Linked DNA regions of Ovis aries. The protein of the gene in region 1 interacts with the protein of each later gene in a pairwise test. Links are inferred from orthologs where the notes say so. Each region holds a gene or a part of one and is shown in the gene's direction. Other genes may lie near its edges.

The links.
Region 2: the proteins of VTI1B (region 1) and PTPN5 interact in binary tests that used the Homo sapiens proteins (3 or more experiments, as listed by UniProt). The two-hybrid records come from large-scale screens. The link is inferred for Ovis aries from reciprocal best matches to the Homo sapiens genes VTI1B and PTPN5.

What each region holds. Positions count from the first base shown.
Region 1 is NC_056060.1:77,595,010-77,611,422, reverse strand, and holds the end of VTI1B (vesicle transport through interaction with t-SNAREs homolog 1B), read left to right. Parts: intron 1-1,895; coding exon 1,896-1,954; intron 1,955-3,571; coding exon 3,572-3,763; intron 3,764-5,902; coding exon 5,903-6,076; intron 6,077-7,858; coding exon 7,859-7,920; intron 7,921-9,125; coding exon 9,126-9,222; 3' UTR 9,223-9,457; downstream 9,458-16,413. Other genes in the region: ARG2 (arginase-2, mitochondrial), read right to left, coding at 9,685-9,890, 11,914-12,050, 12,975-13,079, 13,254-13,348. UniProt on the Homo sapiens protein: V-SNARE that mediates vesicle transport pathways through interactions with t-SNAREs on the target membrane. These interactions are proposed to mediate aspects of the specificity of vesicle trafficking and to promote fusion of the lipid bilayers.
Region 2 is NC_056074.1:23,561,177-23,577,589, forward strand, and holds part of PTPN5 (tyrosine-protein phosphatase non-receptor type 5), read left to right. Parts: intron 1-4,009; coding exon 4,010-4,203; intron 4,204-4,751; coding exon 4,752-4,859; intron 4,860-5,100; coding exon 5,101-5,178; intron 5,179-5,658; coding exon 5,659-5,900; intron 5,901-7,040; coding exon 7,041-7,230; intron 7,231-9,874; coding exon 9,875-9,959; intron 9,960-12,756; coding exon 12,757-12,836; intron 12,837-13,020; coding exon 13,021-13,158; intron 13,159-13,691; coding exon 13,692-13,802; intron 13,803-15,857; coding exon 15,858-16,018; intron 16,019-16,100; coding exon 16,101-16,214; intron 16,215-16,413. UniProt on the Homo sapiens protein: May regulate the activity of several effector molecules involved in synaptic plasticity and neuronal cell survival, including MAPKs, Src family kinases and NMDA receptors.

The sequences.
Region 1 (16,413 bases):
TAGATGCTATGTGATTAACACAATGTAAAATCTATATAAAGCATGACAGTGGTGTTACTTCCAACATGGGATTGGGTTTGAAAGTCAAGGTGTGAGATGAAAATCAGGGTAAACAAAATTATCCAAGAAAATCTTAGGATAGCATGTTGAGTACCCACATGCCATCCCTTCATAGGTCTTATACTCTACTGTTTTCTTGGCATTGGTAAAGATTGCTCTTTCTTCAGTTGATGGCAGTGCTGGCTTGTATTTAGAAATCACACTGAGTGAAAAACACATAGATTGTCCTCATACATGCTACAGTATGGAGGAACTTTGGAGGTTTTATGCTAAGCAAGATAAGTCAAACACAAAAGACAAATACTGTATGATTCCTCTTATATGGGGGTGCTTGGAGTAGTCAGATTCATAGACACAGAAAGTAGAATCATGGTTACCAGAGTCTGAAGGGAGGGCATATAGGGAGTTAGTGTTTACTGGGTGTAGAGTTTGGGATGATGCAAAGGTTCTATAGATGGATAGCAGTGATGGTTGCCCAATATTGTGTATGTACTTCATGCCACTTAACTGTACACTTAAAATGGTCAAAATGGTAAGTTTTATATTATTTTACCACAATTTAAAAAAAAGTATCCCAGATTGTGAATGTAATCCCAAAAGATGAGTTCAAAAAATATTATAAACAGTGACAGTTTGTGGTAATAAGTAGAGTATGTGTAGATTTCCGGGGAGAACATTCATTTTGCTGTATACATTTGAAAAAAAACAAACTCCTCATAAATAGGGCTAAGTTTTCCTTCTTAGGTGTGATTTGCCTCCTCATTTCCTAGCCGAGGAGGGAGGTTAGGTCCCAAAAAGATGAAGAGAATTATCCGGCTTACATGTTGAGTTAGGCCCAAAGCTAAGACCAAAACCTAAGCTCATTTACTCCCCAGCACTTCCCCCCATACAAAGTTTACCAGGTACTCACTTCATCATTGTGGTGTGTCTAAGCACCATTTTTACTGTAATTATTTCCTTTATATCAGTATTTCATGTAAAATGCATTTATTTAACATATAAAGTTACTTTAAAAGGACACTTTATATCACTGCCTTAGATGAAAAATCTATAGAACCTAGCTATATGATCAGAAAAGCTACAATGAAGACAAAACAGTGCTGGTTTAGTTAGATGTCCTTGCTTTGAGGCTAAAGCCTGTTCTGTTTTTTTAAAGAGGAGATTAGTAGTTTTTAGGTATTAAAGACATACTAGAACTAAAATGACAGGATGCAAAGGATTGAACAAGGAATGACATTTTCCCCTGTGTGAGTCAGTGGTATTTTAGATCATTTCCTATACTACTGCCGGTGGGTATGGCTAAGAAACTTGTGCTGTGTGCCTTGCAGGCTCTCCAGAGAGCAAAGTAGGTGGGCTTTGAATATATTTTGCAGAAAAGCAGTGGATAAGTGTTAATGTAGAGATGTGATTTACCATGGGGATGAAGACTTCAGAGAACTGGTATTGTTAAACATTCTTATTGATCAAAGCGTGCCTGGTCCCTTTGTTAGGTTGGTGAAAAAAGATTGACGATAATTAGACCTGTTTTCTTTCTTAGTAGGAATGCTGTTGGTCTTTGGGGCCAGATCATTGTTACACAGGACTGTCCCTAGTTTAGGTATTCTTGTTCCCTGGCCACTTAAATGCCAGTGATAATACCATCCATCTACCCCCCCCCCCCATTAATTCTGGTAACTAGTTCTCTTACTTTTCTAAATGTCTTTCAGGGGTGATTAAGTTCTGTAGGGTACCCCCAGAAAGGAAATGGGGAATATATTCTAAGCAGAGGGTATGTTCTCTACAAATAAATGTTTGGAAGCAGGATTGAGTATTTAAAACTCATCTGTCTTTTCCAGAAGAGAAGAAGAAGTTGATCAGAGATTTCGATGAAAAGCAACAGGAAGCAAATGAAACGGTGAGAACAGGAACAAGTCCTATTTCCTCTTCCTGTCTGTTGGTCTTTGCCAGAAGTAATGCTTATGACATTATGATCACAGATTTAACTGTTCCTGTCTATTGACCTTAGTTTTGATTATTTCTTACTAAATGAGGCCAGTTGATGGGGATGGGTATTTGAGTAAAACTTGAAGATTCCTCTGTGAGTCCTTGATAAAACATTGCTGATACAATAAGGACATTCTCCTTTTACCTAGGTGGCCTTTTGAAAGCACTTTTTAAAAGCTGGCCATTAAGATAACTTACTCTCCTTTGTTAAATTTACTGTCACAGAAAATGGAGCTCAGAGGTGGTTCCTACTCACATTGCCTTGTTTTGAAAAATAGGTTTTGGTACCTTGGGCAAGGTATGCATGGTCAGGATGAGTTCTCAGTCAGGATCCTAAGCTTATCAGAAGTTGGTCCAGGTTGCTAAGCAGTTTAAGAACTGCTTCATTTAACCTGTGACTTTTCTTTAAGAAAAAAAGAAAGAAAGCAATTTTTGCTCTTACCTTTTAGAAGTAAGGATCCTCTGTCTTCATCGCATTGTGTCTAGCTTTAGCAAACCCTTTTAGGAAGCTGGAGCTAAAATCTCGATCTCTGGTAGCACTCCAAAGAAATAGTTGCCTCTAGTATCTGCTACCCCAGAGTAGACTGAAGAATTCTTTTTAAGCCAGAGAACTTTATTGTTTGTTGAAGAATACCTCCTTTATTCCAATGAAGTTTTGAGAAGTTAAGCCCATCTGCATCCTTTTTTTTCCGCTCTGCATGTATTTGAAGGAGGATCAGCCTACCAGACTATGGAAACTATCACCTTCATAATGGGAGTACCAGAAACTTTTCTAATACCTCTGCATTACTGGGCATATATCTGTGATATCTGTTACAGAGCTAGGCCTCTTTTTCAGTTAACATCTTGGTAGCATTTTCTAAAGTTAACCAGTCCTACTCTAGCCATCCAAAGCAGAAGAAAATGACTCATGGGCTCTTACAAATGATTCTATGTGTTACAATTTACTTGTCCCAGAAAAATGGAAATGATCTGGACCCCTGGTTATTCTCACATGGACACAGACAGTTGATTTTCAGGTGGAGGAAGGGAAGAACCTTGATGCCATACCCCTAATCATTTTTAGTACAGTAGGTCCCTAAGTGCTTCGTGATAGCACTTGGACCATAACAGGCTAAGAACTTGGTATACTGAAAAGAGTATGAAGATCTGGAATCCTGATTTATGTAATCTTGAACAGGTTTCTTCAAGTCTCATATATGAAGTAAAAGTATTTCCTACCGTTTTGATCTGTTGTGAGAGAATACATGTCAAAATGTTTAATAAGCTATAAGTAGCTATAAGCTACTTGTTAGTTTTCTCACTCATTCATCACATACCTTTTGAAGACCTGTTCTGTGCCTGCTGGGCACTGCACCAAGCACTCAGTAATGAAGTAAAGGTGTCACGTGTGGTCCTTCCCTTCCTGGGCCACATGTTGAGTATTTATTTAGGATTGCTTGTGGTTTGATTAGTCCAAACTAGACATATTACCCATATGAGAGAGAATAGAAGCAGGCCGTCTACTCACTGCTTTCTGCCTTCCTAGCTGGCAGAGATGGAAGAGGAACTGCGTTATGCACCCCTATCTTTTCGTAACCCTATGATGTCTAAGCTGCGAACCTACCGGAAGGACCTTGCCAAACTCCATCGGGAAGTGAGAAGTACGCCTTTGACAGCCACTCCTGGGGCCCGAGGAGACATGAAATATGGCACATACGCTGTGGAGAACGAGCATATGGTGAGTTTTAGCCATCTTTGTCCTGTGGGTCTGTGGCACAATGATTAACCAAATTGTGGAGTACAGTTCAAATACTCCACAAGTACGCCTGGTTTTTTCCCTCTTCTTTCTTGCATCCAATTTCCCTTCTCCCCTTGGGTGCCTGCTTCTACTGAATTTAATGCAGATCATTCCAAGCAATTTACCTGTTTAGATTTTTTTGTATCCTTTATGTATAAAACAGTGCTTGATGGGTAGTGGTGATAAACAAGTGTTACCTATTCATATTATACCTGGACTCTAGTCTGATTCACCAATCCAGTTTCTTTCTCACATATCCCCCCAGAGTTCAGTTAAGATTTTAACTTATCAGAGCATTGTTATTTGTATCAAGATGGCCCAATAGCCCAGATACAGTAGAGAAAGCAGGATGCTTCCCAAAAAGGGGGCTGACGCCTTACTTCATCATAATAGAAAGTGAGCCAGGCTGCCTCTCTAGCCTCCAGTGTTCTCATTTATAAAATTAGACTACTAAATTGAAAATGTATATTCTCAAACTGTCTAAAGAAGCTAGGTAGGTAAAGGAGAAAAGCTTCACAAAGGTTAAATTTCATGTGTTACATTTGGGACTATATTCCACAGCACGAAGTAGAAATGGCCTGGCTGGTAATGTGGGAGAGAAGTGGAAGGGGGCCCACTAGTGCAGACTGTATGGATGTAGAAAGGCTGATTAAACAAATCCTGTTTCATGAAGCACCCTCCTAAATATGGCTTAAGAGATATTCAAATGATAGTGGCCTGACATTCCTGATGTGAAAACTAGAGTACTTGAGAATGATGTAAAATTTTCAAAGGAGAGTGGGAAAATGCAGGCAAGTAGCGCTTGTTAAAAGTGAGATGAAAGGTGTACAGTGACTTTGGTCATCTGTGACCCAAAAAGCCCCAAAAACAAAAGGGGGGAAGATAATTCCAAGCAATAATTTTGCTTTAAAATTATTAGTTTCAGAAATTATAAAAACAATATAGGTATATAAAGTACTTTCAGTAGAATTACTGTTCCAAATCTGGGGTTGATTCATGTGACCTTACTGTCTCTCCCTGCTCTTTCTTAAGCCCACTCAGTTGAAAATCCTCATCTTTTATGTTTAAAAATGCTGTTTTCCTGCTGCTTTTAAGCCAGTGTAAACTGGGGTTCATTTCAGCCTTATTCAGTGGTTTCCTCACTCACTCGTCTGTATGCTGTATATGAAGTGAAAAAGCCTTCTTGTTGCTTCTGATCTGGAAACACATCTTTTCAGCTTCTTACTGGTGGTATCGAGTGCTAATGGTCACCTGCTCAGTAACAGGCCTTGTGAGCTGACCCCTTTTCCAGAGTTTGTACGCACGTGTGCTCTGAAGAGCTGAGGACTTAGAGCTGCCTCCATTTCTGTCAGTAGTTATTTCTGGCCTGACAAAGGCTGCTTCGGTCCTCATGCCTCCTGTGCTTAGGAATAGGTGGAATAATACTTTGGTGGAGTTTCAGAAATAGGGCGCTTACTTGGCCCCAGATACTACCTCCCCTGAGAGTAAATCACCAGTGTAACAACTTCAGTATTTGTCTTCTGTGTTTGGCCTGAGGCGAAATTCTTTGGATGCTTACCAAGAGTGTAGCTACTTTTTTCCAGAGAGGAGTAGTCTTTCACACTTTTAAGTGATTTCTGTGTGTGCTAAACACGAATAGCTTATTCTGTGGTCACTCAGTACCAATCAGTGGGAACTTTCAGTGAATTACACTATCTCTAAGGCGGTAGAGTTTAGTTGGTTTACCCTATCAAAATGATAGGATGTATGCATTTTCAGGTAGCTCCTGCATCCCAGATCTGGGCCATTGCCTCTCAGAAGTTGTTAGTCCAGGAAGCACATGAGTCAGTTCAGATTCATCAGGAGCACAAGGAAGATGCTCTGGTGTATTGAATCCTTTCCTTGCCTCACTTACATGTAACAAGCAGTGGACTGGGAGGTATTGTGATCCTAGATTGAACCCCAGGTTCTCTTGTAGTCTGATTCATTAGCATCTTTGATTGTCTTACAAGTAATGAAAATTACTACACATTATATCCCTTCTTATAAATTCATTTATAATGGAAGAAGTCTAACAATTCCCTTCCATACTCCTGTCAGAATCGGCTACAGTCTCAAAGGGCATTGCTTCTGCAAGGCACTGACAGCCTGAACCGGGCCACCCAGAGTATTGAGCGTTCTCATCGTATTGCCGCAGAGACTGACCAGATTGGCTCAGAAATCATAGAAGAGCTGGGGGAGCAACGTGACCAATTGGAACGTACCAAGAATAGAGTAAGTCTGGGTGGATAGGGAGAGGGGCAAAAATGGGGAAAGTAGGTGGGCCCATTACACCCTGATGCTGTCAGAAGCTACCACAGTTCCAAATTCAGGGTATGATTTTTTAGGTTCTTATGCTTTCTCTGTTCGTAATTTGCTTGACTAAAACATATCCCTTGGAAGTAATTTTACTTGTAAGATTTAGAGGTCATTGGGCAGGGGGAGTGAGATTGCATAAAACCCAGTTTCTGCATTTATTGAAGATTGTCAAATAGCATTGTAGCCATACCATCCTTTTATTAGGTCCTGTATTATGAACTAAATTTCTGTCTCTCACACGTCTAGTAGAACACCTGCTATTCTTATGAAAGCCAACATTTGCTTTAAAAGATTCTAGCTTTCCTGTCATTTAGAGCCAAAGCTATTTTCCACATGTCATAAAATAGTACTACCGACAATTTAAAGAGGTTTAATCCTGGACTCTTCTTAACCTAAGGTAAGGGAGATCATGGGCTTCCCTGATGGCTCAGTGGTAAAGAATGCGCCTGCAGTGTAGGAGACACAGGAGACAGAGGTTCGATCCCTGGGTCGGGAAGATCCCCTGGAGTAGGAAACAGCAACCCACTCCAGTATTCTTGCCTAGGAAGTCCCATGGACAGAGGACGTGGCGGGCTACAGTCCATGGGGTCACAGAGTCAGATATGACTGAGCAACTAACACCACTACTGCTACACACTAGGGGAGATCACTGTGAGAAAACAAAATCCTTAGGCCAAATGATGACTATATTGTGGCCTCTATCTACTATCACTCTAAGAGGCTCTGAAAAACAACTTATTTCTTCCTTTCTGTACCATCTGCAAAGGAATTTTAAAAACTGCCAATGGAATGCTGTGTTAAGAGCATGAGGCAGATAAACGAAACACAGATACTGTGGGCAAGACTTAGACATGAGAAGGTCGTCTCAAATCCCCACACTGAGCTGTTATTTTCCCACGTTAGTGGCCATAATTCTCCACTCTTAAAATCAAGTCAGGTATCACCCTCCTCAGTGAAAATTCACAGTAAAGTACTGAATTCAAGTAAGCTGCAGAGAAAGCAGCTTGTTTGCAGATTGCATGGTTTATTTGTTTTTACTTTTGAACTTACTAGATGGATTAGTTGAATTTAAAAGCTGAGGAATGAGCTGAGAGATCAACTTAACCAAGGCCACTGGTGAACAGGAACAGATGGCAGGTGGCATCTGTTGAAATATCCTCCAGCTATATAGGTTAGTAACAGGCAACAAAAAGGGGGAAAAAAAGGCTTTTAAAAAAAAGATTAATTCCTTTCATAATTCAATGTAAGTATCTCTTAAAAGGGTAAAGAAAAAAGGAAAAAGAACCAGATCTCAAAAGTGGTAATCCACCAGCCTATAAAAACAAACATTAACTCAGGAGGCTCTCCTGGAGTTTGGCTGATGAAATTCACATCTTAAGTTGCTCAGAGTTACTTCGGTTACTGGCAAGGTACACTTGAAGACTTTGTTTTGTGTAGCCACAGTGAAGGATTAGCTCAGTCCCAGAGGTCTCCTCACAGCAGCCTTGGGATACAATCATTCCTAGGCCTTATTGATAAGTATTAGAGTATCTTGTCCTTTCCAGTTTCTTCTATTTACAGAGGCCATCATTTAAATTGATTTGATTTCTGGGAGTTTTTCAACATAAACCCTTTAACACCCGTCAATTTACTCAGGTTCAGTTCTACAGTGTGTACTTCTGTAAGAAGAGGGAAATAATTGCTATTTTCTCTTCTCAGCTGGTAAATACAAGTGAAAACTTGAGCAAAAGTCGGAAGATTCTCCGCTCAATGTCCAGAAAGTAAGTTTTAAAAATTAGTCACAGAATTAATTTCTCTTAATTCTAATCTTTCGGCTGAGAATGTCAAAGCTTTAAACTGTGACTTGCAAAGGTACTGATAAAACAGAAGAAATAAAGAGTATCACATAGTTAAGTATCCCAGGAAAAAAATCCATTTTTGGAAGTATATATGCTGGTATGATTTGGAGCCATGGAAAACTGGTCTACTGGAAGGACTTTTTATCCTAGTTTACATTCCTTAAAGAAGAGAGCACATGGGAACAGAGCATTCCTGGAAATAAATTTGTAAAAACTTAATTAGAAAACTTTTCACTGCTATGGCTTCGTACTTGATTTTGGCTCTGCTTGCCCTTTATGGGAGTCAGCCCTTATTTGGGAGTTCTGTCTTGTTAGCAAGGAGCTGACTTGAGAAAAAACCGTCTAGGTAAGTGCTGACAGCAGCAGAGCCATGGGCAGAAGGGAAGTATTGGCACTGAGGCTGAATTTGGGGCGTGAGTCGGTGTAGGTAGTATGAATGAGACTATAACCAAGTTATGGAACTAGCAAGAGAATGAGATTTTCCAAAACAGTGGTAAGTTCCTTGTGGAGCAGGAAGAAATGTCCGATTTCGATTCTTTGTGTTAAAGAATATAGGAGTGTCAGAAAAATTTCTACCTTTATAGAGAAAGAAAGGCAAGAAGTTTGAGAAGACATTGAAAGGCATTCCCAGCTTCTAGTTACTCATCCTAAAGCAGGACCACCTCCTTGTACCCAAGCTGGACTTGGACCCTGGAGTCTCCCGCCACCCCTTCTCCTAATGTGTCCTCACAGCTGTAGATGTGTTAGGTAGTGAACTTCTACTTTGAAATCTGATTCAGCTGATTTAAAATATGGTATACTTTTTCACATGTACATTTAATATTTTTCTAATTAGCCCATCATAGAAAAAGTACTTTTAAAGTGAAGTACTAATTACTATTTGAAGACATTTTAGAAAAAAAACATTTGTATGTTTTGGTACCTTATTGCCCCATTTTTCAATATTTTTGTGAGGTAGATAGTAGTAATTATTTACAGGTTACTAAGTGGCTACATGATCAAACAAAAATTCAGTCTGCCTCACAGTATCCTGCCTTGGCCCTAGGTCAAACTCCTCAGTATTAAGAATGGAAAGAAATAAGGTTACCCAGAGTTCTGACTACATCCCACTTTGCTTCTCTTTGTAGAGTGACAACCAACAAGCTGCTACTTTCCATCGTCATCTTACTGGAGCTAGCCATTCTGGGAGGCCTGGTTTATTACAAATTCTTTCGCAGGCATTAAACCTCCTGTAGGGAAGGGTTTGTGGACCAGAACTGTCACTCAGTGAATGAATGGCGTTAGAGGTGTGGAAAAAAATCTTATTGCTGCTGTGAACTAGCGGTTCAAGAAGGCACTGTGTAGCCAGACTGTGGGTGGAGGGAGGAAGACGGAAGACCACTGAAATGTGAAGGAACAGTAATAAGACCAGTATGATATACCAAGGTAATAAATGTCCTTTATGACTTCTTTAAGTTTACACAGTGCTCCAACATATTAATACCCTGTGAGCGTCAAAAAACAAATACATGTACAGTACTATTATCGGTCACCAAAATGAAAGGGAAGGAAACTTTACAATTGTAAGAATGCACAAATGTTCTCATTAAGGCAGTATTGACCCAGATGATCATTCAGTTTCTGTCACCGCAAACGCCTCACGGCTCTGGAATGCCCACTGTGACATGTGTCAACAAACAGTATTCCCTAAATTCTTACACGTTCTTCACTCTCTGATTCATCTGGTGAGCTGGGAGTAGGAAGTTGGTCGTAGACAACATGCCCTCCCTCCCTCGTCTGCCCGAAACTCGAAGCAATGACATCCACTGCCAGGCTGGCTGTAGCCTTGGCCTCCTCTTCTGACACAGCCAACCGAGGATTGACTTCAACGAGATCCAGGGCCGAGAGCAACCCTGAAAACACAAAGCAGGACAAAAAGAAAACTTCCTAGCTGCTTCTTTCAGTGAGGGTCGTCCCACCTGGGTAGAACACACCAAGGTGAAAGGGTCATTTTCTACTAGAAAATTACCCACTGTCAGGAAGGCCCTTACACCTCATCCTCTTGGGCATGAATTTAAGTTAGAAACACTGGTAATGCCGGAGTAGGATTGAAAGAAACCTTTAAAGTAATTAAGTCAATTATCCCTGTTTAATAACATAACAGGCATGACTTGACAGGCTTTCTGGTTAGGATGAGCAAGGCCGGGGTGAGGGGTAAGCAGGGGTGGCAGTAGGAGTTTCCAGTCTAGTTGGGAAAATGTATCATTTCCAGTATTTCTAGGGACCTGCCAGATGCCTGCCTGTAGCTGTGTGATGAAATCTCTCACGTCTCACTAGCCAGCACTCTATTCCCACTTCTGAACTCTGGCGCTGTGTAACTTTTAAGGCACCATGTGTCCTAAAGTATAGCTGTTACTGCATATCTTACTCTCACCCCTGCAAGTTTGAACTCTGAGGACAGACTCCATGTATGACACAGTTCTTAGGTCTCCCTTCAGACTGATGCAGTATCTTGCACTTGGTCATATTTAGTTTGAACTCCAGTTACCTTCTGTAAGGGTCTGGGTACTTGTGCCAAAGGGTTTGAGGCGGGAAGATTAGAGCATAAAAGAACCTATCTAGGCCTGCCCTCTGCCCCTCCCCATCAACATATATATGCCCTACTTCTGGGGTGTTTATCTTTAGTTGGTTATTCTGGATGAAGTTAATCTACCTCCTTTAAGAGTCACTAGAAGAAACTAGATTGGAGTATACAAGTATCTGAGTATTTAGGGTGGCCATAAAGCCTGGATACATGGATGGATATACCTATTGACTTATGGATATTATATTTTAGTACATGTACATTCAATGCTAGCACATCCGCACAGTGTGCCGTCCCTTAGGAGCAATGTGGAGTTCAGTGCACCGTGCAGAACTACAGTGAGCAGGTGTGTCCACCAGTCCCTGCACACGCATCTGTATCGTTTCCACCTACTAAATGTGGACCTTTTGCATAGCCCAGAAGTAAATCAGGAGGGTACAAACTGTTAAAAACATATACTACCCATATTTCTAGACTACTGCCACCTTGTAGATTAATTTAAGCAAACTGCTTTATCTAGTTGATGAAGTACCATTCAGTAATTGTTTAAATTTTATAATGAGAGGTCATTTAAAGTAGCCTTAAAACCAAGAGTTTTCTGACAGAAATGGAAAGTGTTTGCAAATGAGTATGAGTTTGGGGACAGTAACCTCTTGTAGCTACTCTTTTCTAAAAATTTTTACTAATTTTTTGCACCACGAAGCTTGTGGGATCTTAGTTCCCCAATCAGGAATCGAACCCAGCCACTGCAGTGAAAGCACCAAGTAAGTCCTAACCATTGGTCCACCAGGGAATTCCCCTCTTGTAGCTACTCTTGATCCCCTAGCTTGCAGTTTACTCCTCTTCCTGTCAGCCATTCATCTTCCAGTATCCCCATATTACAGGTCCTAGCAAACAAGCTCTAGTATAAGACTTCTATGAAAGGGCACAAGGTATTGTCCAGCTTTGAAATATCTTCAAGGGAAGCTTCAGCTTGATGTTCTTAACTCCCAGTGAACCAGTCTCATAGTGTCAGGGTTAAAATTAGAGCTATTTCGGCTTGCCTTTTAGTCTTCATCTGCCTTTATACAATTCAGATGCAAAGAACTACATCAGTTTGGCAGTTTATTCTTGTGTTTATTAAGTGTTTAAGTGGGTAATATTTTTTTTTTTACTCAGTGTTACCCTAATGTATTTTGTTATCAGCCAGGTCCAAACATGCCTCTAAATTAGCCTGGCCACATGGCTTTTAGCTATAGAAGTTTAAAGAGAAACAATGTCTCCAGTGACATGTAATACTAGAAAAGATCCCCTGGCAGGCAAGAGGCTTCAGCAGATCTATTTAGGTAATTAACAGGTTGATCACTGCTTACCTGTACTGTGTATTTCCTCAGTAATATACATGCCTTCTCGATAGGTCAGTCCCCCTACAACAGGGGTTCCTGTGGCTGGAGCCAGTGTAGGATCAAATGCATCAATATCGAAACTCAGATGGATTGGCCTTTGTCTTCTTGAAAGGAGGAAAACAAGAGAAAGTCATTTGGGCTGTACTTGGTTATTTGTCCTTCCTACAGCTACAACTCCTTGGTTTTGCTGCTGTTCATGCTAGTACTTTATTAACACAGCAGATTTCCAGATTTGTTCTGAAAGTTATTGTGTTAGGTGCTTACACACCACTTCATAGTCTTGCCCTCAGTTCTGTGTGCCTCAGACTAACTCCAGTTTGTATTTCTGATTTACCCTGGGCTTTAGAGCCTCTTACATTAAGAACTGTCAATAGAGGGAATTCCTCACTTCCATAGGACATGGGTTCTGACAAATTCTAGTTGAAGTTGGATTGGTCTAGGTTACAGTTAGTTACTCTCTCAGTAGAACCGCAGCTCTGAATTTATGACTGCGATCTTACCATCTCCCAATTCCAACTTCAGTTTAGCCCAGGCATCCAAATGGTTGAAGGTAACATAGTAAACACCTATGTAGTAAATTATTTATACTTCTTAACACTTTAAGAAACAGTATATTACCGAGGTGGCAATTAATCACCCAGAAATGAAGACTCAGCACTGGGAAAATGTTCTTAACTAGCATTTGATTAGCATTCACCTGTCATCTTTCTATACCACCAAGATTTGCTTAATATAAAATTTTCAGATGATGCAATAGTTGAGCCTGGGAAGAAGAGAAAAGTTGGAATGATGAATGCTTCTCCTCTCGAAAGATAAGCATTAAAATTGGAGCTAAAGAGAAATTCACCGAGCAGTTTTCCCTCCCAGCCCCAGAAGAATATGACTGAAGTTTCAGTCTCCCTTTCTGATCTGAATTTTTTTATATGTACGTTTTGCTTTTATAAGGTCATTATCTTAAGAGACAGGCCAAAGTTTACTGCCCTGTTCTCTTTGGGACCTAGAAGTAGACATCCATTGTAGTTACTTACTTGCCAATCAGCAGATCGAATGTCTGTTCCATGACCTTCTGGATACCAAGTCGATCTATGTCTCTCATGGAAAAATACTGGATATCATAATTCTTTAAAATAAAACTGGTGAGATATAAAGGAAAAAAGCCTTAGCTAAAGAGGAGTTTTTCAATCAGATGTGGGAGTGGGGTTTGTCTTTATAGTGACCTACAACAGGTTAAGTCCAGAAATAACCTATCAAATGGAACATTAGTGGCCAGGACAGGACCAAAACTCAACCCTAACATATTAACTTACTGTTCAGGAGGGTCCACGTCTCTTAGTCCAATATATACAATACTTGGGGAAGAGATACAAGGTTTGATCCAGGAAAATCCTGGGAGCTGTGGTACCTGTGAAGAGAAGGACTCATCAGAGATTCTCAGTCTCTCCAAGGTAATCACTGTGTGCGGTATGCTTTCTTTTCTCACCCCCAGTGTATGTGTAAACCAGCAAACACACAATCTGGGAAAGATCTGATAGAAGTGGAAATGATTCAGAAGGGCAGCTGCAGAACAGTATAGTCTTCTGAAGAATAAAATACCTTCTCTTAATACAATCACAGGAAACTAATCAAACTGATCACATGTACCACAGCCTTATCTAACTCAGTGAAACTATGAGCCATGCCCTGTAGGGCCAAGATGGATGGGTCATGGGGAAGAGGTCTGACAGAACATGGTCCACTGGAGAAGGCAATGGCAAACCACTGAAGTATTCTGGCCTTGAGAACCCCATGAACAGTATGAAAAGGCAAAAAGATAGGACACTGAAAGATGAACTTCCCAGGTCAGTAGGTGCCCAATATGCTACTGGAAAAGAGTAGAGAAATAACACCAGAAAGAATGAAGAGACAGAGCCACAGCAAAACAATGCCCAGTTGTGGATGTGGCTGGTGACAGAAAGTTTGATGCTGTAAAGAACAATATTGCACAGGAACCTGGAATGTTGGGTCCATAAATCAAGGTAAATTGGAAGTGGTCAAACAGGAGATGGGACCTGGGGAATCAATGAAATAAAATGGACTAGAATTGGTGAATTTTACTACTGTGGGCGAAAATCCCTTAGAAGAAATGGAGTAGCCATCGTAGTCAACAAGAGTCCAAAATGCAGTACTTGGGTGCAGTCTAGAATGACAGAATGATCTCTGTTCACTTCCAAGGCAAACCATTCAATATAGTAATCCAAGTCTGTACCCCAACCATTAATGCTGAAGAAGCTGAAGTTGAACAGTTCTACAAAGACCTACAAGACCTTCTAGAACTAGCACCCAAAAAAGATGTCCTTTTCATTATAAGGGACTGGAATGCAAAAGTTGGAAGTCAAGAGAGATACCTGGAGTAACGCAAATTTGGCCTGGGAGTACAAAATGAAGCAGGGCAAAGGCTAGCAGTTTTGCCAAGAGAATGCACTTGTCATAGCAAACACCCTCTTCCAGCAACACAAGAGAAGACTACACATGGACAGCACCAGATGGTCAATACCAAAATCAGATTGATTATATTCTTTGCAGCCTAATGGAGAAGCTCTATACAGTCAGCAAAAACAAGACCAGGAGCTGACTGTGCCTCAGAACATCAACTCAATCTTATTGCCAAATTTAGACTTGAACAAAGTAGGGAAAATCACTAGACCATTCAGATATGACTGAAGTCAAATCTCTTGACTATACAAAAGTGACAGATAGATTCAAGCGATTAGATCTGATAGAGTGCCTGAAGAACTATGCACAGAGGTTCGTTACATTGTACAGGAGGCAGTTATCAAGAGCATCCTCAAGAAAAAATACAAAAAGGCAAAATGGTTGTCTGAGGCCTTATAAATAGCTGAGGAAAGAAGAGAAGCTCAAGGCAAAAGAGAAAAGGAAAGATATACCCAATTGAATGCAGAGTTCCAAAGAATAGCAAGGAGAGATAAGAAAGCCTTCCTCAGTGATCAGTGCAAAGAAATAGAGGAAAACAGTGGAATGGGAAAGACCAGAGATTGCGTCAAGAAAATTAGAGATAACCAAGGGAACATTTCATGCAAAGATGGGCTCGATAAAGGACAGAAATGGTATGGACCTAACAGAAGCAAAAAATATTAAGAAGAGGTGGCAAGAATACACAGAAGAATTATACAAAAAAGATCTTAATGACCCAGATAACCATGATGGTGTGATCACTCAGCTAGAGCCAGACATCCAGGAATGCAAAGTCAAGTGGGTCTTATTAGGAAGCATCACTATAAACAAAGCTAGTGGAGGTGACAGAATTCCAGTTGAGCTATTTCAGATCCTAAAAGATGATCTGTTAAAGTGCTGCACTCAATATGCCAGCAAATTTGGAAAACTCAGCAGTGGCCACAGGATTGGAAAAGGTCAGTTTTCATTCCAATCCCAAAGAAAGGCAATACCAAAGAATGCTCCAACTACTGCACAATTGCACTCATCTCACAGGCTGGCAAAGTAGCAAAATTCTCCAAGCCAGTTTTCAACAGTCCAGATGTTCAAGGTGGATTTAGAAAAGGCAGAGGAACCAGAGATCAAATTGCCAACATCCACTGGATCATCAAAAAAGCAAGAGAGTTCCAGAAAAACATCTATTTCTGCTTTATTGACTATGCCAAAGCCTTTGGCTGTGTGGATCACAATAAACTGTGGAAAACTCAAGAGATGGGAATACCAGACCACCTTGACCTAACCTGCCTTCTGAGAAATCTGTATGCAGGTCAAGAAGAAACAGAAGTGGACATGGAACAACAGACTGGTTCCAAATCAGGAAAGGAGTAAGTCAAGGTTGTATATTGTCGCCCTCCATATTTAAACTTATATGCAGAGTATATCATGCAACATGCCCGGCTGGATGAAGCACAAGCTGGAATCAAGACTCCTGGGAGAAATATCAATAACCCCAGATACGCAGATGATACCACCCTTATGGCAGAAAGCAAAGAGGAACTAAAGAGCCTCTTGATGAAAGTGAAAGAGGAGAATGAAAAAGCTAGCTTAAAATTCAACATTCAGAAAACTAAGATCATGGCTTCCAGTCCCATCACTTCATGGCAAATAGATGGGGAAACAATGGAAATGGTGACGGACTTTTTCTTGGGCTCCAAAATCACTGCAGATGGTTGACTGCAGCCATGAAATTAAAAGACGCTTGCTCCTTGGGAGAAAAGCTGTGACCAACCTAGACAGCATATTATAAAGCAAAGACATTACTTTGCCAACAAAGGTCCGTCTAGTCAAAGTTATGGTTCTTGCAGTAGTCATGTATGGATGTGAAAGTTGGACTATAAAGAAAGCTGAGCACCAAAGAATGCTGAGTGCCGAAGAATTGATGCTTTTGAACTGTGGTGTTGGAGAAGACTCTTGAGAGTCTCTTGGACTCCAAAGAGATCAAACCTGTCAATCCTAAAGGAAATCAGTCCTGAATAT
Region 2 (16,413 bases), on another chromosome or scaffold:
CCGGAGCTTTCTCAAATTCATGTCCACCGAGTTGGTGATGCCATCCAACCATCTCATCCTCTGTCGTCCCCTTCTCCTTCCACCTTCAATCTTTCCCAATATCAGGGTCTTTTCCAGTGAGTCAATTCTTTGCATCAGATGGTCAAAGTATTGGAGTCTCAGCTTCAGCATCAGTCCTTCCAATGAATATTCAGGGCTGATTTTCTTTAGGATGGACTGGTTGGATCTCCTTGCAGTCCAAGAGACTCTCAAGAGTCTTCTCCAACACCATAGTTCAAAAGCATCAATTCTTCAGCACTCAGCTTTTTTTATGGTCCAGCTCTCACATCCATACATGACCACTGGAAAACCATAGCCTTGACTAGACGGGCATCTTTGTTTTTTAATATGCTGTCTAGATTGGTCATAGTTTTTCTTCCAAAGAGCAAGCATCTTTTAATTTCATGGCTGCTGTCACCATCTGCAGTGATTTTGGAGCCCCCCAAAATAAATTATCTCACTGTTTCCATTGTTTTCCCCATCTATTTGCCATGAAGTGATGGGACTAGTTGCCATGATCTTAGTTTTTTGACTGTTGAGTTTTAAGCCAGCTTTTTCACTCTCCTCTTTCACTTTCATCAAGAGGCTCTTTATTGCTTTGATTTCTTTCATAAGGATGGTATCATCTGCATATATGAGGTTATTTTTATTTCTTCCTGCAATCTTGATTCCAGCTTGTGCTTCATCCAGCCTGGCATTTCACATGATGTACTCTGCATATAAGTTAAATAAGCAGGGTGACAATATACAGCTTTGACATTACTCCTTTCCCAATTTGGAACCAGTCTGTTGTTCCCTGGTTCTAACTGTTGCTTCTTGACCTGCATACAGATTTCTCAGTTGACAGGTAAGGTCGTCTGGTATTCCCATCTCTTGGAGAATTTTCCACAGTTTGTTGTGATCTACACAGTCAAAGACTTTGGTGTAATCAATAAAGCAGAAGTAGATGTTTTTCTGGAATTCTCTTGCTTTTTTGACCGTCCAACAGATGTTGACAATTTAATCTCTGGTTCCTTGCCTTTTCTAAATCCAGATTGAACATCTGGAAGTTCACAGTTCACGTACTGTAGCTAATTCTTCTTAACTACAATCAATCAATAGATATTAGAAACCTATTATTTGTTTTAGTTCTATGCTAGGTACTATACTAACATTATAAATTTGAACACATAAAAACCATTATGTATTATTGCACTGGAGAAGGGCATGGTGAACCACTTCAGGATTCTTGCCTTGAGAACCTCATGAACAGTATGGAAAGGCAAAAATATATGAAGATGAACTCCCCAGGTTGGTATGCTCTTCTCCAATATGCTACTGGAGAAGAGTAGAGAAATAACTCCAGAAAGAATGAAGAGACAGAACCAGAGCAAAAACATCACCCAGTTGTGGATATGACTGGTGATGGAAGTAAAATGTAATGCTATAAAAAACAGTATTGCATAGGAACCTGGAATGTTTGGTCCATGAATCAAGGTAAATTAGAAGTGGTCAAACAGGAGATGGCAAGAGTGAACATTAACATTTTAGGAATCAGTGAACTAAAATGGACTGGAACGGGCGAATTTAATTCAGATGACCATTATATCTACTACTGTGGCCAAGAGTCCCTTAGAAGAAATGGAGTAGCCCTCATAGTCAACAAAAGAGTCTGAAATGCAGTACTTGGGTGCAGTCTCAAAAATGACAGGATTTAAAAATATGACAGGATAATCTCTGTTCATTTCCAAGGCAAACTATTCAATATCACAGTAATCCTAGTCTATACCCCAACCAGTAACACCAAAGAAGCCAAAGTTTGAACATTTCTGTGAAGACCTACAAGACCTTCTAGAACTAACACCCAAAAAGGATGCCATTTTCATCATAGGGGACTAGAATGCAAAAGTAGGAATTTAAGAGCTACCTGGAGTAACAGACATATTTGCCCTTGAAGTACAAAATAAAACAGGGCAAAGGCCAACAGAGTTTTGCCAAGAGAATGCACTGGTTATAGCAAACATCCTCTTCCAACAACACAAAATTCTACACATGGACATCACCAGATGGTCAGTACCGTAATCAGATTGATTATATTCTTTGCAGCCAAAGATGGAGAAACATTATACAGTCAGCAAAAACAAGACCAGGAGCTGACTGTGGCTCAGATCATGAACTCCTTATTGCCAAATTCTGACTTAAATTGAAGAAAGTATGGAAACCCACTAGACCATTCAGGTATGACCTAAATCAAATCCCTGTCCAGGTGGCCTAGTTCAAACCCACCACTTATTAGCCTCTCTGCACCTCATCCTCCTCTTCTGTAAAATGAGGATCACAGGAGTGCCAACTTCATAGGGTACCATGAAGAGTGAATATATTAACACGCACAAAGCCCTCAGAGCAGGGCTATGTTCCAAGTATATTATTTTGCTGGCCGTCTGAAGGAGAGACGTGGGTTGCCAGGTGTGTATGATGGGGAGGACCTGCTTTAGGAGACAAATGATGGAGTTCTACAGGATGAGTAGGAGTTAACTTGGCAAAGTGTTTTGGAGGCAGGTGAGGGGAGCAGGATGTTGGAGGGATGATCCTGGCAGAGAGGACAGGATACTCAGAACACAGCGGGTGGGCTCTTTCCCTGGGAAGAGAGGGAAATAACTGGCACAGAAGTTCAGGCATCTCCAGGACCCAGCGCTCTGCTCCACACTGTTGATCCAGGCAGTGGGAGAGGCTCAGTAAGTATTTGTCATGTAAGCAATCGAGCATGCAGACATCGTGTCTTGGCTATGACGATTCCAAGTCCCCCATCCAGAAAAGGAGTCTATTGTCCCACGTACATAATATGTGAACTGTCCCAACCCCTCACTGTCAAGCTATACACATCTGTTTTGCTGGTCCCTCTCTCTCTCTCTCTCTCTTTTTTTTTCTGCCACACCACCACATGGCACGTGGGATCTTAGTTCCCTGACCAGGGATTGAACCCACACCCCCTGCATTGGAAACAGTCTTAACCACTGGACCACTGCCAGGGAAGTCCCATGGTCCCTCTCTTCTTGGCAATAGACTAGACGGCGTCAGTTTGGATGGGGAGTTCAGTAAGGTGGTGCTGCTGGAATCCCCCACTCCACTGGGGCCTCAGCTCTAGCCCGGTGCCGTTCAGACTTGTTTAGTGGTGGCACCTTGTGCTGAGATGATCTTAGAGGATACCCACTATACGGAGTGCGACCAAACAGCTTCCATGGCTGAGGCTTGGGTATGGGGACTCAGAGCACCTGGTCATAGCTGGGTCACCAAGAAAAATGCCAGAGCTCCCTGAAACACAGAAAGCCAAGGGAGGAGCTTAGCCCCCGCTTTTGAGGTGTGGAAACAGGTCCAGAGAGGAGGGGGTGACTCTGCCAAGGTCACACAACCAGGGACAGACCCAGAACTGGATCCCAGACATTTGACATCAGCTCTGCTACCCCAAGGTTTTGCTCCACTGCCACCTGACCACCCCCACTCCCCTAGTGTGGTGTCTCAAGGTGGGGCAGGGGCATGTGGCTCTGACCTTGTCAAGTCAGGATACAGAGAATGAGAGACAAAAACCGGGAGGGCAGGCGTGGGTGAGCTGTTCAGGGTCACGGCCTGGTTACGCTGTGCCTTTTTTTCCGTCTCTCTCTCTTTTAATTGAGTTTGAGGTGGTTGTTTTTTGTTTCCTTAAGAAATGGGAACAGAATGAAGCTGCGTAAACACCACAATGTTAACTCCGTGAAAAACCTCCTGCCATTTTAACTCTGTTACTGGAGAAATAAAAGAGAAATAATTTGTCCACCCACACTTAGCTCTTTCTGACGAAGGTAGGTGAATATTGCTTTGCTAGTCGAGGGTGACTGCTGGAAGTGGAGCCAGGCTGACTGATCTTGGATTGAGAGGAAGCCACGGCAACCCCAGCAGGAGCAGCCCGCGGGGTCGGCAGGGCCTGGGTCACCGGCCACGTTGTCACCTTCCGCAGGTGTCCGCCAGCCGGTAGGGATGGAGGCGCTGGACCAGGCCGAGGCGCCCGCGGCCTCACAGAGAGAGATGCCACCGCCCCCACCTGCTTCACCGCCCTCGGAGCCAGCTCAGAAGCCGCCACCTCGAGGCGCCGGGAGCCACTCCCTCACCGCCAGAAGCAGCCTGTGCCTGTTGGCTGCCTCCCAGTTCCTGGTAAGGACATCACAGGCCTCGCCGGGCCTGGAAGGAGGGCGGGCTGAAGGACGGCCTCCGCTTCCTCCCCAAGATGGCCGCCTGGGGACACAGAGGAGTGAGGGGCCTTCCCGGCGTCCCTCGTGCCTGCGGCCATCCGGCTGGCGTGAGAGAAGGCTGGAGTTCCAAGCCACAGCCTTGAGGGCTGAGCCCCTCATGCGCTGAGCTCAGAAGCAGGGATGCAGGCCCAGCCCCCAGCCCCCCATGGTCCTGCGGGCGTCTTTCTGAGGACTTCCTGTCTCTGCAGGCACCTCTAGGAGACTCCCTGTGATGTGTATACCTGGTGGGGTGGTGGGACCCCCTCTGCGAAGGCTCCCTTAAGTCACATTTTCTCCAGGCAAAGTCCTATGCCCTTGGCCTTTGTGGCACAGTCGGACCTTGGTGGGGGTGCGGGCGGGGTAGGCGGTAGGTTGAGGCTCCAGGTAAACTCTTGAGGGTAGGGGAACGGGGAGATATGGGGGCAAGGAGGCCAGACTCCGAACTCAGTGCACTGGCCCCGGCCACCCCAGCTCGCCTGTGGGATGCTCTGGCTCAGCGGCTTTGGCCCCATCTGGACACAGAACACCACAGACGTCGTCTCCTCTGCGCTCACGTTCCTGGAGCGGCTGGGACCCGCGGTGAGTAAGCTCCAGGGAGCCCCAGGGTAGGAGGGAGCGCTTGGGGGCCTCCAGCCCCACCAGCCCCTGCCTGGGGCTTCTTTGAGTTCATATGATAACCCTGAAAGGCTTCTTCCTGTCCCCTCCCCAGAACCAGGTACAAAGTTCTCAGAGCCTCAATCTTACCCGTGCTGAAATAGATGAGAACGCGCCCCCACCCCCCACCCGCATCACCCTGAGCTGTTTGTCTGATGTTCCCCAGGCCTGGCTGGGCACTGGGACCTGGGACATCTCCAGTCTGCTGCTGGTCTCTCTCTGTGTGATCCTCGTCACCACCCTGGTAAGGCTCCTCCTGACCCGACCTCGCTGCTCCCCTCCCGTGACTCCAAGACCCAGTCCCCACCTTGTCTCCTTTGACCTACGGACTAGATGTTGTGGGTAGAGCTGAGGAGGGGCACCTGTCTTCTTCCACCAATGTGCCCAGGCTGGGGTGGAGAGAGGCCCCTTCTTTCTCAAAATTGGTTTGCAGTGTTCTTGGCTGGGGAAAGGAGCTGAGACAGTGTGAAAACCGGAGTAGGAACACCCCACCCCACTAACAAAGCTTCAAAGCATAACAACCTGAGGGTTGGGGAAGGAGGGGGCCGGGAGGACATCTAGGTAGCCTCCCATCTAGGTGAGTGGTGGTACTCTGCAGACAGTTCCCAGGAGAACAAGCCTGCTCCAGACACGTGGAGGGGCAGGGAGCTCAAGACCCTGGGCATGCCATCATCCGGGGACTGCTGCCAGCATGGTCCATGATGCCAGTTATGTCCCCAACTAGGTGTGGCTCCTCCTGAGGACTCCCCCAGAGCCATCCAGCCCGCTGCCCCCCGAGGACAGGCGCCAATCGGTAAGCCGTCAGCCTTCCTTCACCTACTCGGAGTGGATGGAGGAGAAAGTCGAGGATGACTTCCTGGATCTGGACCCCGTCCCTGAGACCCCTGTGTTTGACTGCGTGATGGACATCAAGCTGGAGGCTGACCCCACCTCCCTGACCGTCAAAGCCATGGGTCTGCAGGAGAGGTGGGTGCAGCAGAGGTGCATGGAGCTCTTAGCTCCCTGTCGGAAGGGCAGACGCCTGATTCTGACTCAGTGCCCAGGGCAGAGCTGAGCTCATAGCCCCACCAATGCAGACATGTGCTCTTCAGGTCTGATTCATGTAGATCTGAATGCCCCAAAGTGAACACGAAGAAACGTTACTGCACACAGACATGTAGGCATGCACAGGTGTGCACACGTGCACACTCACACATACAACTCTTATGGCTCGGATAGGTTTCTTTACTGTAGGACTTGTTGGGAGCCTTTAACATGCTTGTAGTCATTGTAGATTGACAAGGGGTTGTGTGTAGCCTTCCTCAAAGTTATCCGACCACAGAACCCTGCTTTCATAGTGTCTCGTAGGGTTCCACACAGCACATGTTGGGAGGTGTCAACACCCTCTGCAGAGCCTGGCTGGGTTAGCTAGATCCCACCAGGGTTGTGTTGTCCACATGATGTCATGGAAAGAGCACTGGAGGAGGAGTCAGAAAACCTAGGTTTTTGTTTCAGCTCTACTACCCCCTTACTGTACGTGCTTGGGCAATTCTTATCCCCTCTGTGGCTTTCAGTTTCCCTTTCTAGGTAATGAGGGTAATGGGTCACTAGACTCTGAACACAGCAGAGTCTGCTCAGTCCACTCATCCTTGCTCAGCTGTGCTACCCCTGGGATCCCGTCTTTCCCGAGCCTTTCCTGGATGAGATGTCCTTGGAGGCTGCGGCCCTGGGGGCTGGGGTACTGAGGGTGGAGCCCTGCTTCTCTGCCCCAGGCATGTGCCCTCTCGGTGAGCTTCCCCTGGCTCTGGGAGCTGTCTCTGGCAGGGGCACAGGAGAGTGCAGGGAAGGACTGTACTGAGGGGCCTCACATGGAATCTTTGGGACTGGGGCCCAAGCCCACACGCAGTTAGCTACTCTGCTGCATGGGGCAGGAGCGGGTGGCAGGCTTAAGCCTTAGAGCTGAGCCTCATTCTGTCTGTGTTGGGGTTACGTCATGCCCACTCCTCTCCCTGGGACCCATCAGGTTCCCACCCCATCTGCCGCTCCCTCATCCTCCTGCTCCAAGGCCCCCAGCTAATGGCCCTTCCTGCCCCTGATACTCACTGCCCCCCTTCCCGGTCCTTCCAGGAGGGGCTCCAATGTCTCCCTGACCCTGGACATGTGCACACCAGGCTGCAACGAGGAAGGCTTCGGCTATCTCATGTCCCCCCGTGAGGAGTCAGCCCGAGAGTACCTGCTCAGCGCCTCCCGCGTGCTCCAGGCCGAAGAGCTTCACGAGAAGGCCCTGGACCCCTTCCTGCTGCAGGCAGAATTCTTTGTGAGTCCCCCTGAACCAGTGCCCCCACAGAGGGCAGCCCTTTATGCTCATGTTGGTCCCCCAAGCAAGGCTTTGGAACAGGGTACCCCAAACTCAGCATCTGATGAACATCATTTCATTCTCACCTCTCCTACTGTCTTGGGCTAGCTGCTTCCTCTCTGGGCCTCAGTTTCTCATCTGGAAAATGGGGATAAAGATAACAGGGGTGTTGCAAGGATTTGAAAGATGCAGAAAATGTGCAAAGTGCCCATCAGGTGATTGGTGTTTGTGGCATTCTTAAGTCATCATCACCTAGGATTGTCCTCCGGAAGTCTTAGACAGCTTTCTCTTCTCTATTTGGAGATGTGGGGTGTGACACTATGTGGCACCAGGGATTATACCTGGGGCCCAGCAGTGAAAGTGCTGAATCCCAACCACTGGCCCGCCAGACAAATCCCGAAAGCCTTCTCTTCTGACTCTCCCATTTTCCCACTCTCCTTTTACCTGGCATCACCAAACAATGTTCATCCTCCTTTGAAATCTCTCCAGTTCTGTGGCTCCAGCTTAGGGTGGTCCTGATTACCTCCCCCTCCAGGCTCTAACAGCAGCCCCCTCCTGTTGGACTTTGAGGGGCTTATAAATGACCCCCCTGTTTTACCTGCCCGAGCACTCAACCAGTTAAAAGCTAAGATAGAGAAGATCCCAAAACCACCTTTATTTTTGCTGATAAAGGCTAGGTAAGCTTCTGTTCTTGTTTGTTTTTTGTTTTTCCATTTTGACTGCTCTGAGTCTTTGCTGCAGACCACAGGCTTCTTTCTCTAGTTGTGCCACGCAGGCTTAGTTGCCCGGAGGCATGTAGGATGTTAATTCCCTGAGCTGCGATCAAACCCATGTTCCCTGCATTGGAAGGCAGATTCTTTATCACTGGACCAGCAACGAAGTCCCAATGCTAGGGTTAACATGAGGATTACGTATGTAGCAGTAGTGAGCCTCCTAATACCAACCGCCAGAATGAAGCAACTTTCCTGCCACCCCAGGCGGTGCTGGTACATTGCCAGCCTCACCCCATGGGGGTGCCCTGTAATTCTTTCTTAGCAGGAGGGTCGGAGGAGGAGGAGGAGGAAGTAAGGGGCTAGCGCCCCAAAGCTGAGTTTCTCAATCAGACACCATCCGGTAACTCACCCACCGTGTGGGCAGGAATGGGCAAGAGCCAGGAGCATTTGGAGAGAGTCCCTCCTGGGAGAAGCCTGAGGGATGGGGAACCTGCGTGCCTCCCTCGCAGCTCCCCTTGTCCCAGGCCACCTGCTCCCTAGCAGAACTGGATGGCTCTCCTCTCTGAGCAGCCCTCCATCACCTCTGACCTGCGGCTCCAAAGTCTCCAGTATGTGGTCCAGCCTGCCTTACCTGAGTTGAGCCAGCCCCAGCCACCTTGTCCAGACTCAGGGCCCCATCCCCGCAGGACTGCCCACTTCAAACTTGGCCCTCAGCCCACCCCCTCCCCGCACCTTCACAGTCATCAGCCCTCACCCTGGAGGCCCTTAAGATGCCTTCCTGGGCTACCCAGCCTGGATGTGTCCCCGTGGCCACACCTCCGCTTAAGGGTGTGTGGCATGTCCTTGTCATCTCCGGTTTCATAGTTCATTGTCAGTTTTGCCCAGAGAGAGAGGAAGTGGGGATGCTCACATACCCACCCCATGGGCACTTCTGCGCCTGCTTTTTATTCTTCTGATTCTCACAACCACCTAGAAAGTGAGTCTCATGATCCTCTTTGTACAAAGTGCATTCTTAGTGTGTCCACAGTGAACACTGTGATTCATGACGGTGAGAGATGGCAAGGGTGCTAAAGTGTGTAGACAGAGGGAAGGGGCGCAAGAGGACAGTCACTGAGGAGTCATCCCACAAGACCTGGTGGGAGGGGCAGCAGAGAACCTTAAAGGCTGAGAAGGATTAGGGTGATGAAGAGGGATGCGACCAGTGCTCCCCGCAAGTGAAGTGCCGCAAACTCAGACGTGGAGGCTAGCCGGAGACTGAGAGATTAACTACAGAGAAGAGATGGGCACAACTGGAGGGTGGGGGTTTTGAGAGCAGCTGGTGGTAAAGAAAGGCCAGCTCCAAGAAGACCTCACATTCCAGGCAGAAAAGTTCAGACTTGGCGCTCTTGACATGCAGAGTGATTGAGAGGTGCAAATACAACTCTGGGAAGGCCCAGAATGAGGTTGCCTCCCTGCTGGAGAATCAGGGAAGGCTTCTTGGAGGAGGTGTCATTTCCGGTGCACAGCAGGGCATGAGAAGATGAGGATGGAATGGATGTTACTACCAGGCAAGCAGCACGACCCAAGGCCCTGAGCGGGGCACCTACCTGGGGTAGGAACGTGAGTCAGCAAAGCCACTCGCCGTGGCTGCAGCGCAGGGTGTAGATGAAGGTGGTGACTAGCCAGGTCACTTCTTCCCTGTTCATCCAGCGTTCACTGAGTGCTGACTCTGTGCCAGGCTGGCCCTCCATAAACAGTGGTGTGCTAACGTTCATTATGCGCTCAGCATGTGCCAGGACTGCTCTGGACGCTTTTCGTGTGCCCTCACTCATTTAACAGTCGATGCTTGTTGAATGAATGCATGCATCAAGCCAGCCCACAGCTGCTCTCAACCCTGTGCCTTCCTCCTACAGGAAATCCCCATGAATTTTGTGGATCCAAAAGAATATGACATCCCTGGGCTGGTGCGGAAGAACCGATATAAAACCATCCTTCCCAGTGAGTACTCAGCTGCCCCTCACCTGGGTGCCCTTAAACCCTGAGGCCCATGCCCTTAACTCCAGCATGGGCCTCCAGGGTCGCCAGGCAAAGGGATGGAAGGTGGGGGTGCCCGGTGAAGGGAAACACCCCCTTTAGAGGGCAGAGGGCTCTTGGTTCCTTCATACGGCACTCTCCAGATCTTTGCCCTGGACAAGCATTGTGCTGGGCTCTGTGGAAACCCAGAGAAAAAGGGGAACAATAACAGCAGCTCCTAGACAGGGCATGGTGGCTGAAAATTGTGGTCACATCCCTGGTCTCTTCAGAGTGGACAGGTTTTAAAGAGAGGACATTAAGGCTCAGAGAGGTTAAGTGGCTCATCCATTGTCACACAGCTAAGATGTACAGAACCAAGTTTGAAACTAGGCCTCTGTAACCTCAAAATTGAGCTCTTTTGTCTACCTGGAGTTCACTTTGGCTAGATTATGAATCCTCTAACAGGCAGAGCCACCTCAAAAGGGAGCGAGCTGCCTGTCAGGTAGGAAACTCCCCATTGGCTAGGGTATTCAAGCTAGAATGCATGAGTAGTCCCCCTGGAAGGTTTCATAGGGATTTTCCCCCTTTGGGGGTGGTTAGACCAGGTAACCTGATATTCCTCTTTTAGCCCAGGATGTCATTTTCAGGTAACTTTCATCAGGCCCCTGTCTGCCTGTCACCCCTGCCAAGTTCTGGCCCAAGGCCCTAGGACTAGCTTGGGGGGTGACTTATTGAAACCAAATCCCCACAAACCTACTTCACTCAGTTTATGGAGTAAGGAGGCTTTAAAAAAGCAGTTTTGCCATCAGCATCTCCAACAACATGTAAGATGTCATGACTTATTTTTAACTTTTAGAATATCGACTTGTGGTTGCTATGGTTACACAGAGTCTAGGTAATTCCAGTTAGACAAAGCACCATTTAAGGCCAAGATTCAGGGCTGCTCACCTCTTCCCTCCTCTTGCTCCCCCCTCCACCCACCAAGCCCTACCTGAAGGGAGGGCTTCGGGTACCCCACAGTCTCGGGCTTTGCTGGCCACTCAAAATAGCCACTGGGGGAGTATGAGAGCCAGGCCATCGCTCCATCTGGTCCCCACTGGATTCCTGAGAGTAATCCAGCCTCCAGCCATGCCCTATGCCTGCAGCCCCCAAGCCCAACAGAGAATCTTCACTGTAGCCAGCAAGAATTGACCCTGTGCCCTCAGAGACTGGACTGGGGTGGGTGGTAGAGGCCCCTCTAGGATCAAGGACACCCCGAGGCTTGCTTTCTCATTCATTCAGAGGCTACTTCTGGATCCCAATCCGGGTACCATGAGGGGAGGGAGGGGGCCCATGCAGGGCTGCCTGTTCCTCTCCCCTGGTCACACAGAGCCCCCTTCCGTTCACCCTCGCCCTTCCCCATACCTGACTCTCCTCCACACCCCTCGCCACAAGAGCTGCCTCACCCCCACCTTCCCCTCCACAAATCACCTGCCCAAACCTCAGGCACTTGGACCAGGGCATGAAAGGGCTGGCGAGGGGAGTTTTGTGGGTATCCCTTTCCATTTCATATTCCAGGTTTGGGATCCTCTTTTTGACCTGTTAATTTAGAAACTGATTTAATTTATACTTGCAGTGATATCAGTAGCAACACCAACTTGCTCTATAGTGACTGGGTGCTGGCCTAAGTTATGGGTCTGAGGACTCATTATGAACGGCCACTCTTGAACCCTGACAGGATGAGTGAGGTTGTGACGGAAGGAATGTTCCCAGTTTATGGAGGAGGCACAGGGGTACTCAGTGAATGGCCTGCACTGGCACCAACAGGACTTGAACCCAGGCTCGCTGGTGGGCGGTGTTGACTCCTGACTGCTGATGCAGTCTTTGAGAGCCCTGTACGGGGCACACGGGCAGGGCCTTTAGTCCAACCCTCCTTCCACGGGAAAGACCCTGGGGGCCAAAGAAGGGAGGAGATGCAAGCTGGCGACAAAGCTGGACAGAGCCCAGAACCCAGGCCCCCAGCCCCCCCCCCCAACCTCCTGGCTCAGTCCCAGCCTCTGCGAGTTTCCAGGACAGACTAAATCAATACAGGGAGGCTCTAGGAGGCAGAGCATGACGCAGTGAGAATCTGGTGCTCTGGGATTTGACAGGTGACTAGATTGGGGTGGGGGTGAACCCTTATGGACGTGTGTGTCGTCTCATCTCAGGCTCAGAAGACTTTACTCCTTTCATTGTGATACTCTCCCCTGGCATCCTACCCAAATCTTAGCTATAACATGCTTTACAATTGACATAGCCCTTCCCATCTGTTTTCTCAATTGTCTTCCCAACAATCCAAGGAACTAGGCATCTTTACCCCCATATTACAGATCAGAAAACAGGCTTAAAAAGGCCATGTGCTTTACAAGCTTACACAGCAGGTTGGGGACAATGTATACTCAAACTCTTGCTGGTCCTGCTGGCTAGGATGTATCCCCTAGGGAATTTCTTACTGTCTGAGCTGTCTCCTCCCCAGAACATGAAGCACAGAGAGGACCAGGCAGCTTAAGGGATGCAGGCAAGGGTGGCCTGGATCCTACAGAGGGAGAGAGCCAAGGCCTCCCTGTACCGTTCTCTTCAGCCTGGGTCCTCACCTTCCTGAGTGGGCCACAGGGATGGGTCAGTGTTTTGCTTCTGGCAAGGGAAGAAGGAACTTCCGGTCCCAGAAGAAATGTAGGTGCCCTGACATGGGCCAGAGAAGGTGGGCCCACACAAGAGGGATTACACGTTCAAATCCCAGCCTCACCTGTCTCCACTACCTCAGACCCTCACAGCAGAGTGTGTCTGACCTCACCAGACCCTGACGACCCTCTGAGTTCCTACATCAACGCCAACTACATTCGGGTATGTAACCCCATCCCAACAGTCTCTCCCTAAAAGGGAGGTCCGGGTCAATGGGGTCCATCCACTAGGCTTGTCCCTAAGTCCGTCTGGTTCCTGCCAGCCCCCGGGGAAGAGGCTGAGTGGGGGAAATGGGCCCCGGGAGCCCAACAAGTAACCCTGATGGCCTGGACTTGGCTGGTCACAGGGCTATGGTGGGGAAGAGAAGGTGTACATCGCCACTCAGGGACCCATCGTCAGCACGGTTGGCGACTTCTGGCGTATGGTGTGGCAGGAGCACACGCCCATCATTGTCATGATCACCAACATTGAGGAGATGAACGAGGTAGGCCCCTCTGGACCTCACCAGGTGTCTGCTGCTTGGTGCCCCGTGCCAAGCATCTTATTTCCGTGTTAATCCTTTCAGCAATCTTGGGAGGTTGGTATGTTCACCTTGCTGCCTTGCCCAGGGAAGGAAATGTGAGGCTCAGAGAGGTTAAGTCAGTTACTCAGAGCCACACAAATAGTCAGAGGCAGAGCCTGGAGCTGGCCTCTCCACCTTCAGTGCTCAGGATCTTAAACACGCTGCTCCGCTGCCGCCCAGCCTGCCAGGGCTGATGCTGGCTACTTCCATACTCATCACAGCCCATTTAATTGAAGTCCCATGAAGGTCCTTCAAACTGAGTATTACTTCCATTTTCCCAGATGAGGAAACTGAGACTCAGAAAAGGGAAGTAACTTAACAAGTGAGAAGTTGAGATTTGAGCTAACTGCAAACCTACTGCCCCATTGTCTGTCTCCCCACTGGCCCGGGACAGGCACTGGGGAGGGCGTGGTCGGGGTGCTGGGAGTATCTCAGTCTGATCTGGGCCCCTGCAGAAGTGCACCGAGTATTGGCCGGAGGAGCAGGTGGTATACGATGGCGTGGAGATCACCGTGCGGAAAGTCATCCACACTGAGGATTACCGGCTTCGGCTCATTGCCCTCAGGGTGAGGCCTGGGGTTGGGCTAGGCTGGGCTGGGAGGAGGGGGCACTCCACAGCCAACAGGGTCCCAGAGGCCAAAATAGCTGAAATTAAGGCATGTGTCACTCCAGGCTTTACTGATGAGCAGGGATGAGGGGAAGAAGGGGTGAGTCATCTTGCACATCAGAGGCAGAACCAAATTCTCAGTGCATTTCTTATCACTGGCGTCTGTCCATCCACACTGTCGTTCATAATGTCTTCAAGCTCGGCTTCAAATGTACCCAAGGCCAAGGCTGTCTGGAAGAGGGGGCTTCAGCAGCTTCCATATTCTGCCTGGAAACATCCCTTCACCTGGGATGCTGGGCTTCCAACCTGTAGTACCGAATCTGTCCACTAGAGGACAGGCGCTTTTTGCTGCATTTGGGTAGCACAAGGAGGTTGTGGTTATAGGAAAAAGAGAAGAGGACATAAAAATTATGAGCAGTACCGAACAGCCCAGAAGAGTGTGGGGAAGTATCCTCCCACCCTGAAGATTGTGCTTCTTCCAGGCTCAGCATAATAGGGGAGATTGTTCCTTTGGAGTCAGGAAAATCAGTGCATTCTGCTTTTGAGAAATCTTTGTGAACCCTTTTTGGGGAAAGTGGTACCACTGTAATTATCCCAAAGTCTGGAAGAGGTGACCTAGGTGCCAGGAAGCTGACATCCTATCCAGAAACAGGGAGGTCCACTGATGCTGGCAGCCACAGGGTCTGAATAGGGTGTCAAGGGCGTGAGACTTGTTCCTCTGAGCTGCCCCCTCCCACTGGAGAAGGTGAAAAATGGCGTGTCAAGGAGAAGTCAGCCCCTCGAGGGCAGTGCCCAGTAAGCATTTCCAGGATGTAGGTTTGCTCGAGGGCATTTCAGAGGTGGAGGATAGAGGCTGTGGTAGCCCATGGAGCAGCTTCCTTTTTCCCCTGAAAGAGAGGCTGGGCTGCCACATCTTCTAAGTGCTGTGGGACTGGTCAGGGACCACTGGGCATTTACTTTTGTCCGTAACCTTTACAAGCACCTGCCCTGAGCCTGGTTCTGGGTTGGGTACTGGGAAAACACAGAGCTGTCCAAAGCCTGGACTCTCTCCTCAAGGAGCACCTATAAAATGGTAAGTACTGACCTACAAATAAGTAAAAGCACAGAAGAAGGACATGTTGTCAGCTAGGGTGCTCAGGGAGGGCTTCCTGGAAGTGGTGGTGCTGAATGGGGTTCCGAAGGATAAGAGTTGGCTGGGGGGCAGACATGTAGAGAGAGCATTCCAGACAAAGGGAAACTAAAAGTAAGGGCACAGAAGATAGAACAGCTCTGTGTATAAATGTACAGGGAATGGGGGAAGCAGAGATTTGATCAACAAACCATCTGGAGTGCAAAGGCATCAAGTACAGGTTCACAGGAGGACTTGGGCTTGGAGAGGTAGACGCTGTACCATGTGTCTTGTTTGCCCGAATGAAGAGTAGGGAGGGTGTGTTTGAGTTTTAGAGCAACAAGAGCTATCAGAGCGTTCTGAGCGGTAGAACAGGATGGGCTGTAGACAGGCCTTCTGGACCACTGTGGATCTGAGCGATCAGAGAGGAGGAGGGGAGGGCCCCACACAGTCGAGAGAACAAAGTGAAGGTGGTGGTGGAGAGGATAGCACTGGAACACTGGCTGGGGGGGACCAGGGGTACTGGTGGGCAGGAAAGTATATTGAGGCAACAGGAAGGGTCCCAGGGCTCTTGTGGGGGTGACTGGGCTATCTGTGAAGGGGCAACCAGGAGACAGGAGTGAAATGGAGAAGGGGCTCTTCACCTCTCTTGGAAGATCCTGGAGTCACTGGGGCAAAACCCATGTGAAGACCAGTGCTGACGCTGCTCACCAGTCCCCACTGCCCAGCTGGCCTCGGGTCTCTGGCTGCTGCCTCTGGGCTGTACGGGGTAGATGGCAGAGGTCCGAGGTCCCACTCCCTGTGGCCTCCCTCCTGTGCTTCCTTCTCCCTTCCCATCTCTATCTCTGGGCTGGTGGCTGGGCTCAGTTCACGTGTATCTGGGGTGGGCCTCTGTCTCCTGGACAGAGCGGGACAGAAGAGCGAGGCCTGAAGCATTACTGGTTCACGTCCTGGCCCGACCAGAAGACCCCAGACCGCGCGCCCCCACTCCTGCACCTGGTGCGGGAGGTGGAGGAGGCGGCCCAGCAGGAGGGGCCCCGCTGCGCCCCCATCGTGGTGCACTGCAGGTGGGTCCTCCCAGACACCCACTGGGGCGTGGCGGGGCTCCCCGGCGGCCCCACCCCTCACCCCCGTGCCCTGGGCCCTCAGCGCAGGGATTGGGAGGACTGGCTGCTTCATCGCCACCAGCATCTGCTGCCAGCAGCTGCGGCACGAGGGCGTGGTGGACATCCTGAAGACCACATGCCAGCTCCGTCAGGACAGGTCAGCTGAGGGTGGGACCCATGGGGAGCTGGGGAGCGGGGGAGAGGGCAACAGAGAGAGCCTGACCTGTGTGCATAGGGTGAAGGTTGGGGGACACACCCCACCGGGACCGACCTGTGGACAGATGGGTGGAGAAGCCAGATCCAGGCAGTTGGTAGCTGGGATGCAGAGGGGAGAGGGACAGAGCTGGTGGACACAG